2 linked regions of the Drosophila melanogaster genome follow. The protein of the gene in region 2 interacts with the protein of the main gene of each other region in a pairwise test. Each region holds a gene or a part of one and is shown on either strand. Other genes may lie near its edges.

Evidence for each region.
Region 1: the proteins of CG2104 (region 2) and FoxP interact in a two-hybrid assay, tested with the Drosophila melanogaster proteins (one large-scale study listed by BioGRID).

What each region holds. Positions count from the first base shown.
Region 1 is NT_033777.3:9,725,243-9,732,860, reverse strand, and holds FoxP (forkhead box P), read left to right. Parts: upstream 1-1,988; 5' UTR 1,989-3,427; coding exon 3,428-3,966; intron 3,967-4,024; coding exon 4,025-4,202; intron 4,203-4,258; coding exon 4,259-4,436; intron 4,437-4,495; coding exon 4,496-4,540; intron 4,541-4,625; coding exon 4,626-4,702; intron 4,703-4,769; coding exon 4,770-4,871; coding exon of another isoform or gene 4,872-4,934; exon of another isoform or gene 4,935-5,243; coding exon of another isoform or gene 5,244-5,453; exon of another isoform or gene 5,454-5,710; intron 5,711-5,847; coding exon 5,848-6,291; 3' UTR 6,292-6,841; downstream 6,842-7,618. Other genes in the region: alphaTub85E (alpha-Tubulin at 85E), read left to right, coding at 58-582, 711-1,532; hyd (hyperplastic discs), read left to right, coding at 7,336-7,397.
Region 2 is NT_033777.3:5,690,118-5,695,286, forward strand, and holds CG2104 (uncharacterized protein), read right to left. Parts: upstream 3,170-5,169; 5' UTR 3,126-3,169; coding exon 1,851-3,125; 3' UTR 774-1,850; downstream 1-773.

The sequences.
Region 1 (7,618 bases), 4.0 Mb from region 2:
TTAGAATTACCCAAATTTACAGCGACATGAGTCACATTATTATAAACTCTGTTCCAGAGGGAATGCATTTCGGTTCACATTGGCCAAGCTGGTGTCCAGATCGGCAATGCCTGCTGGGAACTTTACTGCCTGGAGCACGGCATCCAGCCCGATGGCCATATGCCCTCCGATAAAACCGTGGGCGGAGGCGATGACTCCTTCAGCACCTTCTTCAGCGAGACTGGAGCTGGTAAGCATGTGCCGCGTGCCGTGTTCGTGGATCTGGAGCCCACTGTGGTGGATGAGGTGCGGACAGGAACCTACCGCCAGCTGTTCCATCCGGAGCAACTGATCACCGGTAAGGAGGATGCGGCCAACAACTATGCCCGCGGCCACTATACCATCGGTAAGGAGATCGTCGACGTGGTCCTGGACAGGATTCGCAAGTTGGCGGATCAGTGCACGGGTCTGCAGGGATTCCTGGTCTTCCACTCCTTCGGCGGCGGCACTGGCTCTGGATTTACGTCGCTGCTGATGGAGCGCCTGTCCGTGGACTATGGAAAGAAGTCAAAGCTGGAGTTCTCCATTTACCCAGCACCACAAGTATGTCATTTGCATATGGATATTATATCTATTGCTTGAGCATTTATAGAAGACCAATTAACATAATTAGTAAAAGACATGGGAAATTAGTCTTCGAAAGGCAATCTAATAATCGAACTTCCTGTTAGGTGTCCACAGCTGTGGTCGAGCCATACAACTCGATCTTAACCACCCACACAACGCTGGAGCACTCGGACTGTGCGTTTATGGTTGACAACGAGGCAATCTACGACATCTGCCGGCGCAACTTGGATATCGAGCGACCCACCTACATGAATCTCAATCGCCTAATTGGCCAGATCGTTTCCTCCATTACGGCCTCGTTGCGCTTCGATGGCGCCCTGAATGTGGATCTGACCGAGTTCCAGACCAATTTGGTGCCCTACCCACGCATTCATTTCCCACTGGCGACATACGCTCCCGTCATTTCCGTGGAGAAGGCCTACCATGAGCAACTGACCGTGGCCGAGATCACCAATGCCTGCTTCGAGCCGGCCAACCAGATGGTCAAGTGTGATCCGCGTCGTGGCAAGTACATGGCCTGCTGCATGCTCTACCGCGGTGATGTGGTGCCCAAGGATGTGAACGCAGCCATTGCCACCATCAAGACCAAGCGCTCTATCCAGTTCGTCGACTGGTGTCCCACGGGCTTCAAGGTGGGCATCAACTATCAGCCACCCACCGTTGTTCCTGGCGGAGATCTGGCCAAGGTGCAGCGCGCCGTCTGCATGCTGTCCAATACCACTGCCATTGCCGAGGCCTGGGCCCGTCTGGATCACAAGTTCGATCTGATGTACGCCAAGAGGGCCTTCGTCCACTGGTACGTGGGTGAGGGCATGGAGGAGGGCGAGTTCGCCGAGGCTCGCGAGGATCTCGCTGCCCTCGAGAAGGACTACGAGGAGGTAGGCATCGACTCCACCACCGAACTGGGGGAAGATGAGGAATACTAGAGAAAACGTTGTCAACAAATGATACAGCCATTACAACTTTATAAACATCACTTTCTTTCTACCAAATACCAATGCATAAAACAGTTTCGCAATAAAACAGTTTAACACAATTGCTTAAAATGGCTTATTTAAATGGGAAATATTCGTCTTTAGATGGAATTTAACTTTTGTGTTAATAAGAATAAAACTTTCTCATATAAGGAAATTGGTAAATCATATATTTATTGGAAATTACCCCTCCGTAAAAAACCCTACTTATCACTTTCTTATTGCTTTAAATATTAATATTAATTGGGCAAATTAATGTTGACTTTTAAAAGTTTTTAATTTTTGAAATCGTTACGTGTAATGGAGCCTTAGGATGCATTTTGAAACGCATGCGCAAAAATGTGTACACATATTTCTAGCAAATTCAGTAGTCGTAGACGTACCTTTTCAGGAGTAGCAGCGAAAAATATTCTTAAGATAGTTTTTAAGTTTAAATTAATTTTACATATATGTGAAAAGTTGTATTAAAAAATTCGCCCGTTATTAAATATAATATTGTTCTTTGGAAACCTCTGTGAATGTTATTTAATTGTAAATGTACATGCAAAATTGTATCCTCTTTTGTCTGCAAAATTGTATGTGCATGTATGTATTCGCAAAATTTAAGTCTAGTCTGTTAAGTTAATTAAGATATTGTTGAGTAGTCTAGGCAGACAACTTTATCTTAAAAGTCCCAGTTTAAACAGTTCTTATACAGAAATTGTATGATATGTATACATATGAAATATGAATATTTTATTTACCCATATATACCCCTTGGAATAATCAATGCCCCCAACGAATACAGACAATGCAAATCTACACAATACCAACAATATATTTATCTTTATTCGCCTTTACACAAAAAGCTTATGTATATCGAATATAATACTATTTTTTCAGGATCTTCGAATGTGATGAAAACCATACCTCTCTCTTCTCTTTTATATCTTTCTTCTTTTCCTATAAAACATTTAATACTTACATATTTCACCATTTACATTTATTCTTATTTTAGGTGGCTATATAATTTTTCATTACAGGAATTTGATTAAAACAATCGTAAGATGGTCCTATCTGCAAAACTCATATACTCTTCCATTTAAGTTCATCCTATAGCCAAAACGTCCGTCCGTTTTTATATCCGTTTGTCCGTCCGTTTGTATGTCCTTCCGTTTGTATGTCCGTTTGTCCGTCCGTTTGTCCGTCCGTTTGTCCGTCCGTTTGTCCGTCCGTTTGTCCGTCCGTTTGTCCGTCCGTTTGTATGTCCTTCCGTTTGTCCGACCGTTCCGTCTGTATGTTTCTTATGTTATGTATGTTGTATATGTTTCTTTTTAGCAAAATAAGATGTGTCTGGTTTCCTTGCCACCTATGCAATCCCCTTGTGAGATCTTAAACTTGTTATACGCCTAAATATGATAAATGCTTTCTATGAATAACCTTTATATTTACAGATTAACTGCACCGGATGACGTGGCATTTTATTTGTAACATATTTAAAATTAAATCAAACATTTAAAGAATGTTTAATTTAATTTACACTGAATTCATTTAGCACTGGGCCTTTAGTAGGGGTTAAATCTTATATGCGCCAAGTTGTTAAATATTCATAACTTTTGGGGAAAGTATCATCTCAATGATAGTGCGGGAAAATTAAGCTGAAATTAAATAGGGCGTAATAAATAGAAATCCTTAAACTATCACTCTGATTCGGAGTTTTACAGGAATGGCGGCATATGAGTAAAGATAGTTTTATTGAAATGACTCCTAATGACAGACGAAAAAGAGATTATTTCTGTGTATTTGCATATGCCCATCTCTTGGGTAAAGGATCAATGGTAATGATTATAAATTTCAGTTTTAAAAACATGCATCGGATACATGACGACGAGTATTCCGAGGATGCCAAGGAATCGGACTTTAAGAGTTCGATTCAGAAGGAGATATCAGTGAAGTCGAGACACCAAATTTCCATACCAGACATATGCTCAGATGCTGTTAAGAACAATTGTTTTCCGCCGACTGGCTTTCTCAATAACTCGATCACCTTTGCCTCACATGTAGTTAAGTGCAGCTCACCGGCCTCGAGCATCGATGAATCCTCAACGGCGGCCCAGCAGCACGAATCCAATCCACACATGCATATACAGGGTCAGCATATGATGGCTCCCGTTCCCGATCTGGGTTTCTACAATGTGCCCGAGTTCATATCCGAGCAGGAGAAGCTCATGTTCTCCGATGCAGAGAGATTCTTGCGGTCGAAGGATAATGAGGTGTGCAACAATGATTTCAGCTATATGCACGATGAGTTCGCCATGCGGAAGTACTATCATCCGTTATTTGCTCATGGCATATGCCGTTGGCCTGGTTGCGAAATGGATTTGGAAGACATCACATCGTTTGTCAAGTAGGTGGAGTACAATTAGAGGTATGAAATAATTATATAGGGTATGTTATCTAACTAGGCATCTGAATACGGAACATGGTTTGGACGATCGATCAACAGCACAGGCACGGGTTCAAATGCAAGTTGTCTCCCAGCTGGAATCCCACCTGCAAAAAGAACGAGATCGCTTGCAGGCAATGATGCATCACTTGTATTTGTCCAAGCAGCTTTTGTCTCCCACCAAAATCGACAGGAAGGTAAGTCCCTTTTTATGTGAGTAAGTATTGGTATAATGAAAAGTTATAAATATAAGGACGTGCCCGGAAGAGAGGGAAAGTTTTGCCGGAGTCCGCTTACCGTAAATAGCATAGGCCGACCCATCCGACAAACAAATTCACCGAGTCCTCTGAATCTTCCAATGGTTAATTCCACCAACTTGTGCTCGATCAAAAAGAGAAACCACGACAAAAATACATTTTCCATAAATGGGGGTAAGTTTGGGAAAAATTTACTATTACTGTATAAAAATAATAATGGTTTTTGGATATAGGATTACCCTATATGCTTGAAAGAGCAGGTCTTGATGTGCAACAGGGTAAGTAAATTATGTAGACTGATCGTCTTGATGACTATTCGTCTTGTGCTTCTGGAAGACATATAATAAGAATTTAAATTTGCAGAAATCCATCGAAACAGAGAGTTTTATAAGAATGCTGATGTACGACCGCCTTTTACTTATGCTTCCCTCATAAGACAGGTAATTTTAAAAACCAATTTCCTAATATAACATTAATTTATTTTTTTTATATATATTTTATTTATAGGCTATAATTGACTCCCCTGACAAGCAGTTAACCCTAAACGAAATCTACAACTGGTTCCAAAACACATTTTGCTACTTCCGGCGCAACGCAGCTACGTGGAAGGTAAAATGCCCCATATATGTAAATCTTCTTTCCTCCATATTATCTATATATTATGCAACATAACTTTAATTTGAGTATTTATGCTATATGATATGATATCTATGATCTGATATGACCATTTGTCCGTCCGTATAACTCTCGTTTGTCCGATTGGCGTTCCTAGCTTGTCCGCTGTATATATACTATATACTACCTTTTCCACATTGTCCACTACTTTGCCAATATTTAAGAGTATAATAGAGCTAAATACAAGTGATATATAACAAGGTAAGCTACACAGGTCAGATCCTGTTTTATTCCATTTCCTTTTTATATGTCTTAAAATAATCAAATTAAGTTTGGCCTATGCTAACTGATAATATATATCATTAGAACGCAGTCCGGCACAATCTGTCCCTTCATAAGTGCTTTATGCGGGTTGAGAATGTGAAAGGAGCAGTTTGGACTGTCGATGAGATTGAGTTTTACAAAAGACGACCGCAGCGCACTGCTGGCATTGGTAACAATCTAACCGGTGCTACCAATTCGCCGGACACTAACTATTTTGTAGCCATGAACATTGGGTATGTGGGTCTCAAATAGTTTAATTCTACTCACTTTGCTCCAAACTCCTTCCGTTTTGCTCTGTTAGTAAATATACATATGCCATTGCATGCATGCTCCTATATCGAAATGATATAATATGACATTATACGATCTTTTTACAGCGCAAATTGTAAACAGTGATTCTAATCTCTTAGTGGTAGAAACCCAAAATGATGTCCGTCTGCTCATCGATCTGTCTGTCTGTCTGTCTGGAATTTAGCTGATGAAGATTATCCAGGATTTCGCGTGTTATGAAAAATGAAAATAAGAAGACCGAAGACAAATGAACTAACCTTAATATCTCAATGAACTTTTTCTTCCTTTCACGATAATGCAATTTCCTGTTTCTGACTCTTGATGGGGCTCTTGTTTTGTCCAACCAATCATAAAGAATGCGATTCGTACGAACCTTTCCTTACACAAGTGCTTTGTACGTTATGAAGATGACTTTGGCTCGTTTTGGATGGTCGACGATAATGAGTTTGTCAAAAGGCGGCACTTGTCGAGAGGGAGACCCCGGAAATATGAACCGTCCTCCTCCCCAAATTCATGCCAATCCGGCAATGGTGTGCCCACTGATAAGAATCCCTGCGACAATTGTACGCAACATTGCACTAGTTTGCCACCGGGTGCTGATAATCCTCTAGATTCCAATAATCCAAATGATTTAGGCAGAATTGGTTGTCTTCCCTATTGCGGTAGTGATGGTTTAAGTAAAGCGTCCAAGGACTATAGCAATATGGACTCGGGTATGATCGAAAGTAACAGCCACTTGACAATCGATGAATATTCTACTAATATGTACGAGAGTAGTGCCAATGAGCACAATCGATAAATAATATATCATTAACTATACATATATTTAGATGCATTGTCGAGTAATCTGCGTTTGGTAAGAAGGTTCGGATTCGGAAATTATATCTGTACATACACATGGTTCTATGTATAATTTCCCAAATAGAAATGAAAAAATACTTTTAAAATAAATTTCACTAATGCTATAAAATAAACGAAAGAACTACGTTAAATTATTAAAGCAAAATTAATGTGTTTAAACTTGCTTTAATAACTCCACTTATAACACGATTTTAATATACGAGTACAACATATATGAATATTTTCACTTTTCAGCAAGGGAGAAAACATTTAAAAGCTATAGCTTGATAAAATTTTAACAAAACTGTTTTAAAAGTCACAATATGATTTTTTTTTAAGGAAACTATTTTCAGGTATACCTTCTGTTAAAAATCTGGACCCTTGAGAGCTTTAGATTTGGAAACTCCTTAGTAAACGTATATGCTTTTCTGCTGACTTATCTAATTTCCTTCTAATTTAAGATCATTAACGATACTCAGTGACCTAAATAAATTCCTCAAATATACAACAAAGTGAACAAACTGAATTTTATTTCTAGTTCCTAAGCAAACGGTTTACGCGACGTAAAAGCGGTTAAATCGGCTTCTCAAAAGTTTGTCAATCAAAGTTTTCTACCAATTCATTATTTTAAAGCGGTCTTTAGTATATTTTAGTATATTCTATTGGAGATTTTTTGGACTGCCACTATTTAAGGAAAAACAACCGATAAGAATGGACGCATTCGTGAACTTCTGTATCTTAAATTTAATAAAATATATACAGCCTAAGTACACATATTGTAGTCAATGTCAATTTAATTTGAAAGTAAAGTTTTTGTTTACCAATAAATTTGTTTGGAGAATGTATCGATACCGTCGAATTTTCCGGCAACCATCGATACAGTCGGGCGGCATCGGTTTTCGTCCCAGCTCTAGCCAGTACGGTCACTCTGAAAGTCTCTCAACGTTTTGTGACATGAAAATTCAACGAGGACACTGTGTACATGAATAGTTGAAAAATTAAAATGGTTTCCATGCAATTTGTTTTGCAACCGCTACCGGGCTCGGACGATCAGTTTATTGAAAGGTAAATATAATCCTCGCGTACCGCAATTACGCACATGTGAACGCGGAATTCCGTGTAATTGTGTACGTACGGCTGCATGTATTTGTTATGTGAAAATATGTAGGTACGCAGCTATATGTATACGCAGGAAGATATGTACATATGATCATTAACGTAAAACGCGAGCCACAGACACTGGCGGACTTACCTCATCTAGTGCCGTCCACGCGGTTCTGTAAACA
Region 2 (5,169 bases):
GAAGCCTCGAATTTGTCTTGCAATTTGCGAAGAAGATTTATGGCAGTTGGCTGGAGTCTTCACCAAAAGAGTGTTGAATGGAAAACTATTCTTGGATATAAACCAAATATAGTTGTTAGTGGCTAGTCATTGTTGGCATTTGTTGAAACCATTTAGATAGTGCGGTGCGCTGATGATAACACAACCAATGCAAATAGTTGCTTTTGTTCCCTATATTTGAATTATATTGGTTGTAGCTATTAATATTTCCCAAGTAAGCAATTAGGATAATAAAGGGACCTTGGGACTCTTATAGCCTTGTAAATGGATCTAAAATTTCAGTCTGTAGTTTGTAATGAAGTGACATATAACTTGTACAGCCTATATAATAGCAGATATAAGGTATGTAAACTTCTTTTCAATTTCAATCTTATCCAATCGTCTGAACTATATTTCCGCAAATAAGGAATGCAAGTTTATTAAGTCTAAAAATATATATATTTTCATAGCTTTTTTGGTGACAACATAGCTTATTTTACATATTTTCTATGTTTTCATTATATATTGGCAGATTTGGAAAGGTACTCACATTTGACTTGCCACAGTCAGCGCCTGTTGTTCTTCTTGCATTTAAACTAAAGATCATAAAAATTATTCTGGAAAGAATTTTATTCAAATGAAAAAATGTAAACCCTTTCAAATTCAAAAATGCAAACTTTTTGCTAGCAAAGGTTTTTTAACTGAGAAAGTGTTAAAAGTTAAGATTAATATCATAAATAATAAAATGTAGTTTTGTAAATCGTTAGAATTTTGACCATCGTCAGTTTATTGCCGTCTGCTATAAATCAAGTTTTATACGCACTTGGCCAACATCGAGGCTTCAACGTATGTATTTACTGTAAATTGGGGAATTCTAATCCACAAAGAATGTGAGGGATGCCCGCTTGGTTCACCCAGAGCATTCCCCTTCGATACATTTGGTTAGCACGATTGCGGCCTGCCAAGGATTTCAGGTAGTGGGCCTCCCAATTGTCCTCCCCACCGAGTTCCATCCCCTTGCTATGTTGGCGCGTGCTGGTGGCCCATTGACGTCACAACGCCAGGGAGTTGAGTTAAGCGATGGGGCTGAAGAGGAAAAATCAATACGCAGCTTGTTTCATTTTCATTTCCATTTTCCCAACACGCCTCTGCTGCGGCGCTGTTGTTGCTGTTGCTGTTACCGCCGCTTCAATTGTTGCCACTCTAGCTGTTTTGCCACCTCCTGCTCGGGAAGTCACTCAAGTCGCGTTGGTAATCCGCTTTTGGTCGAGTCACTTGAGTCGCGTCACTCCCCTAGTCCCCCAACCCAGAGTTTGCTTTCTTCTCTGCAGTGGCATAAATGCCTTCGCACTTCATCGTCATCCCCATCGCCATCGCCGTCGCCAGCCCGCTGTCCTCGAGCTCTTCGGTGGCTCACGCGGCGTATGCGTTATATTCCTGGCGGATACACACTAAGCTTGTGCCACATAGCCAGGCCACTGCATTCCAGTTGGCTGCTGTTTTGCCTCGCATGATGGAAGTCGGTTTCGTGGTCTGCTGATCTTTGGACCCATGTATGCCATCTGCGGTCTCTTGACGTCGTTGCTATGCTGCACATTGCAGATTGCTGATGTTGCTTCCGGATATTCGTGCAGATGACACACATAATATTCGCATTACACGAAGCTGGAATATTTCTTCATTTCGGTATAGTATTTGCCATCATTGTTTACTATTGGATAAATGTGCTTATAGTTATTGACAAACAGATACTTTGCAAACGAAAAATTGACTATGATAGAGCATTCGATTTTGAATATTTAGATATTGCACCAATCACAAAACCCCTAATTTTAAAACGCGTTCTTGCTGGTGGCCGTACAATCATCCAACCAAGTGGGCAGATGGACACTAACGCCGCTGAGAGATGTACATTCGCTGCCCAGGGAGAGGCCACTGTTGGACATGCAGTCGCTGGAGGTCTCCTCCACTTTGGCCTTCTTCCTGGCACTATCGTTCTGTTCCGATCTGGAAATGGAGGGGGTGCCGCTTCTCGAAGTAAGGTCCTGGTCCTGATCCTGGTCGTCTGGATCCTCCGCCATCTGTCGGCGCAGCGGAGACTTCACTCCCATACGAGCGCTTCCCAGATGCCGGCCAGATTTGTCCTCCTCGAAGGACATCAGTTCACCAAAGCGCAGGGCATTCAGGTTGTCAATGTCCATAAGGATGTCCTCCATGTACATGAACATCAGACTACGATGGATCTTCGTCCACGAGGACAGGGCGGCCAGACTCCACAGCTGGCTGGAGTGGCGGGCAAAGGTGCCGACGTTGGTGGTTGCCATGTGGCCCACACAATTGATCAGCATGTACGCGTCCCTGTACTTGGCAATGGTGTCCTCGTCCAGCATCTTTTTTGGGGAGAAAGGTGCCTCGTGGCACAACTGTGCGAATCCCCAAACGAATGGCACAAACTGAAACTTATCCAGCGAGTATCCACCATGCCAGTTGGACGAGTTCACGGAATAGGTTACCTGCAGGCGGCGCACAAAGTGCAAGTAGCGATCGAATAGAACCAAAGCCGAGGCGGCCAGGTCCTGTTCCTTATCGAGGATCTCGGCCTTAAAGAGGGCGCACACGAAAAACAGGAAGCTCAGCTCGTGCCCGGTCCCGTACTCGATTTTGGCGGAGCTGCCGAAGGAGCCCGATAAATACACGCCCAGCTCGTTGACGTGTCTGCACTTGCTGGAGGGCACCGCCTTCTCCACAATCTTGTATATGTCCCTTAGCATGCCGTGCGCCCAGCGTCTGTAGCTCTTGGTTCGTGAATCCATATTGGCACCTAGAACGAGCGGCGCCGGAGAATTGGCCACAATCATGGAGTCCAGCTGTTCGAAGATGGTCGTCAGTCGCTTGATGTTCTTACTGATTGGAAACAAGTCGGTGTTCCGGATTCCCTGTATCTCGGCGCTCACATCGTTCAAGTACGTGATCAGTGTAAAGTACGCCCTTGAGGCTAGCCAGGCTTCCATGTCCGAACTGGACTGCACCCGGCACACGGGTCCTATGTTGCTTCTCCGGAAGAAGGCGGCCACCCGCTTGGGATTCACCTCACTCTGCGGCTCCATCTCCTTGAGTTTCTACAGTCTGTATTTGTGTCAATGGTTTTCAGGTTGTCATGTGCTTGAAAATCGAGTGCTATAACAACTGTTTCAATAGCCTCACAAAACTAAAACCTATTTTACATACATTTAGGGTAAATATTTATCTCATTTTTAAAACTCCTTGATAATTGAGTTAGATGCCGTTTTTATTTATATTGATCTTTATTTAAAAATGATAACTACTACGCTTTAGTACCCATTTAAAGCTTGAAATATATTCTTAAAATGTGTTGAACCCTTTTTTTTTTAATAATAATGAAGAGAAAAGGATTTTCCAATTAATAATAATAAAGAGAATAGGATTTTCAAATTAAATTAAAAACAATAGATATCATTAAAGTCATGTTCCCCGGCTATCAGATACCCATTACTCAGCACTATAGTGGAAGTGCGAACGAGAAGTTTAAAAATTTGTCTAACATATTGAAAGGAATTATTGTACAAAATATCTATATCTCTGAATCTCTGCATGCCTAATTCCAACTTTATAGCTTTTATAGTTCCTGAAAGGTCGACGTTCATACGGACGGACAGAGGGACATCCCAAGATCGACTCGTCTATTGATCCTGATGAAGAATATTAAGTATAGGGTACTTTATAGGGTCGCTTCTTTAACTCTAAGAGTAACGGGTATAAATAAGATATATATCTATAAGATACGCTCAGTACGACGCAGCAATTGTGCTGTATGTGATGCAAGAGTAGCGAGAAGTTTCCCCATCCCTTAGCAAGAACCTTTAATGACCACTTACGATAAATAATAAGGTGCGGATGGAGTTGCCCCCTTATATAAGCTTACCCTTATTCTTTGGAGTGACCCTGTGGATAGTTAGGGCCATATTTCATAGCTGGCGACTCGCTATTAAGACGTCAGAAGTAACAACAGCAGAACAACAGTTACTGCAGTTAAAGCTAATTATAATGCTAAGCTGCGCCAACGTTCACAACAACAACAATGATAACAACAACAACGACATAATGCAGTGCAATGAACAATTGTAGACAATTTATTAGGCAACAGTCACCACATCAACAACAACAACAAAAACAACGAACAGCAGCTGGGGCACGCAAATGTAATGGAAAAACAGTTAGATCGTATAAATCACGGGGAAAAAACACGCGACTTCTGCTCCTGGCAACGATTCTAATGACAACAACAAACGGGCAAATGTAACAACAACGTGCAAAGGCAAGTGCAAAGGCAAATGCAAATGCAAAAACAGTAACTTCATTCCCCAGCTGTTTTTGAAATGACGCTAACTGCACTTCAAAGCAAATGAATATGTGTGGGTGGACCATAGAGCGATACAATTAAAAAATCAAAAAGATCTTAAAATTGCCTGTTCATTTTTACTCAACATTATGCTTACATTATTTATTGGGTATTTATTTATCATGAACATCGCTAAAGAAATAATACACTGCACTTTTGAATAGTTCATCAACAATTGGTCCACCCTAACATGCACTTATGTACACTGCTCGGCTCGAAAGTAAATGCACCTGGGAACGTGACTGCATCAAGTATGAGACTTGATTCCAATTAGGAATCGCGAAGAAAGGGGGAGAGTACCCAAAGAATGGCCAAAAGAGGTCAAGCAGTCAATTGTTCCAGCCAGTGAAAAGATTACGTATACGCAGTGTGCCACATAACAATTAGGGAAAACAATTTGAAAAGAAGAATATACAACTTAATAATAATAGAAAACTAAAAATAAAATGAAGAGTTCCATTATGTTGTAAATGTAACCTACTAATTATCATAAAAATGGCATCTAAAGGATATTTTCCAAGGTTGCCGAGTGAATACAATTTAAAACCCATTTGATATAAAAGGTAAATGGTAGAAAGGCTATTCTATTTTAAAATTACAATTTACCAGACAACAAAGCCTTTGCAAAACCCTCAATTCGATACTCAATAAACGAAGAGAGGCATTGCCTGTGATGGACAGCATGAATCCTTCGTCAAGTGTCAAAGGAAATTAATTAAATTTAAAATGTC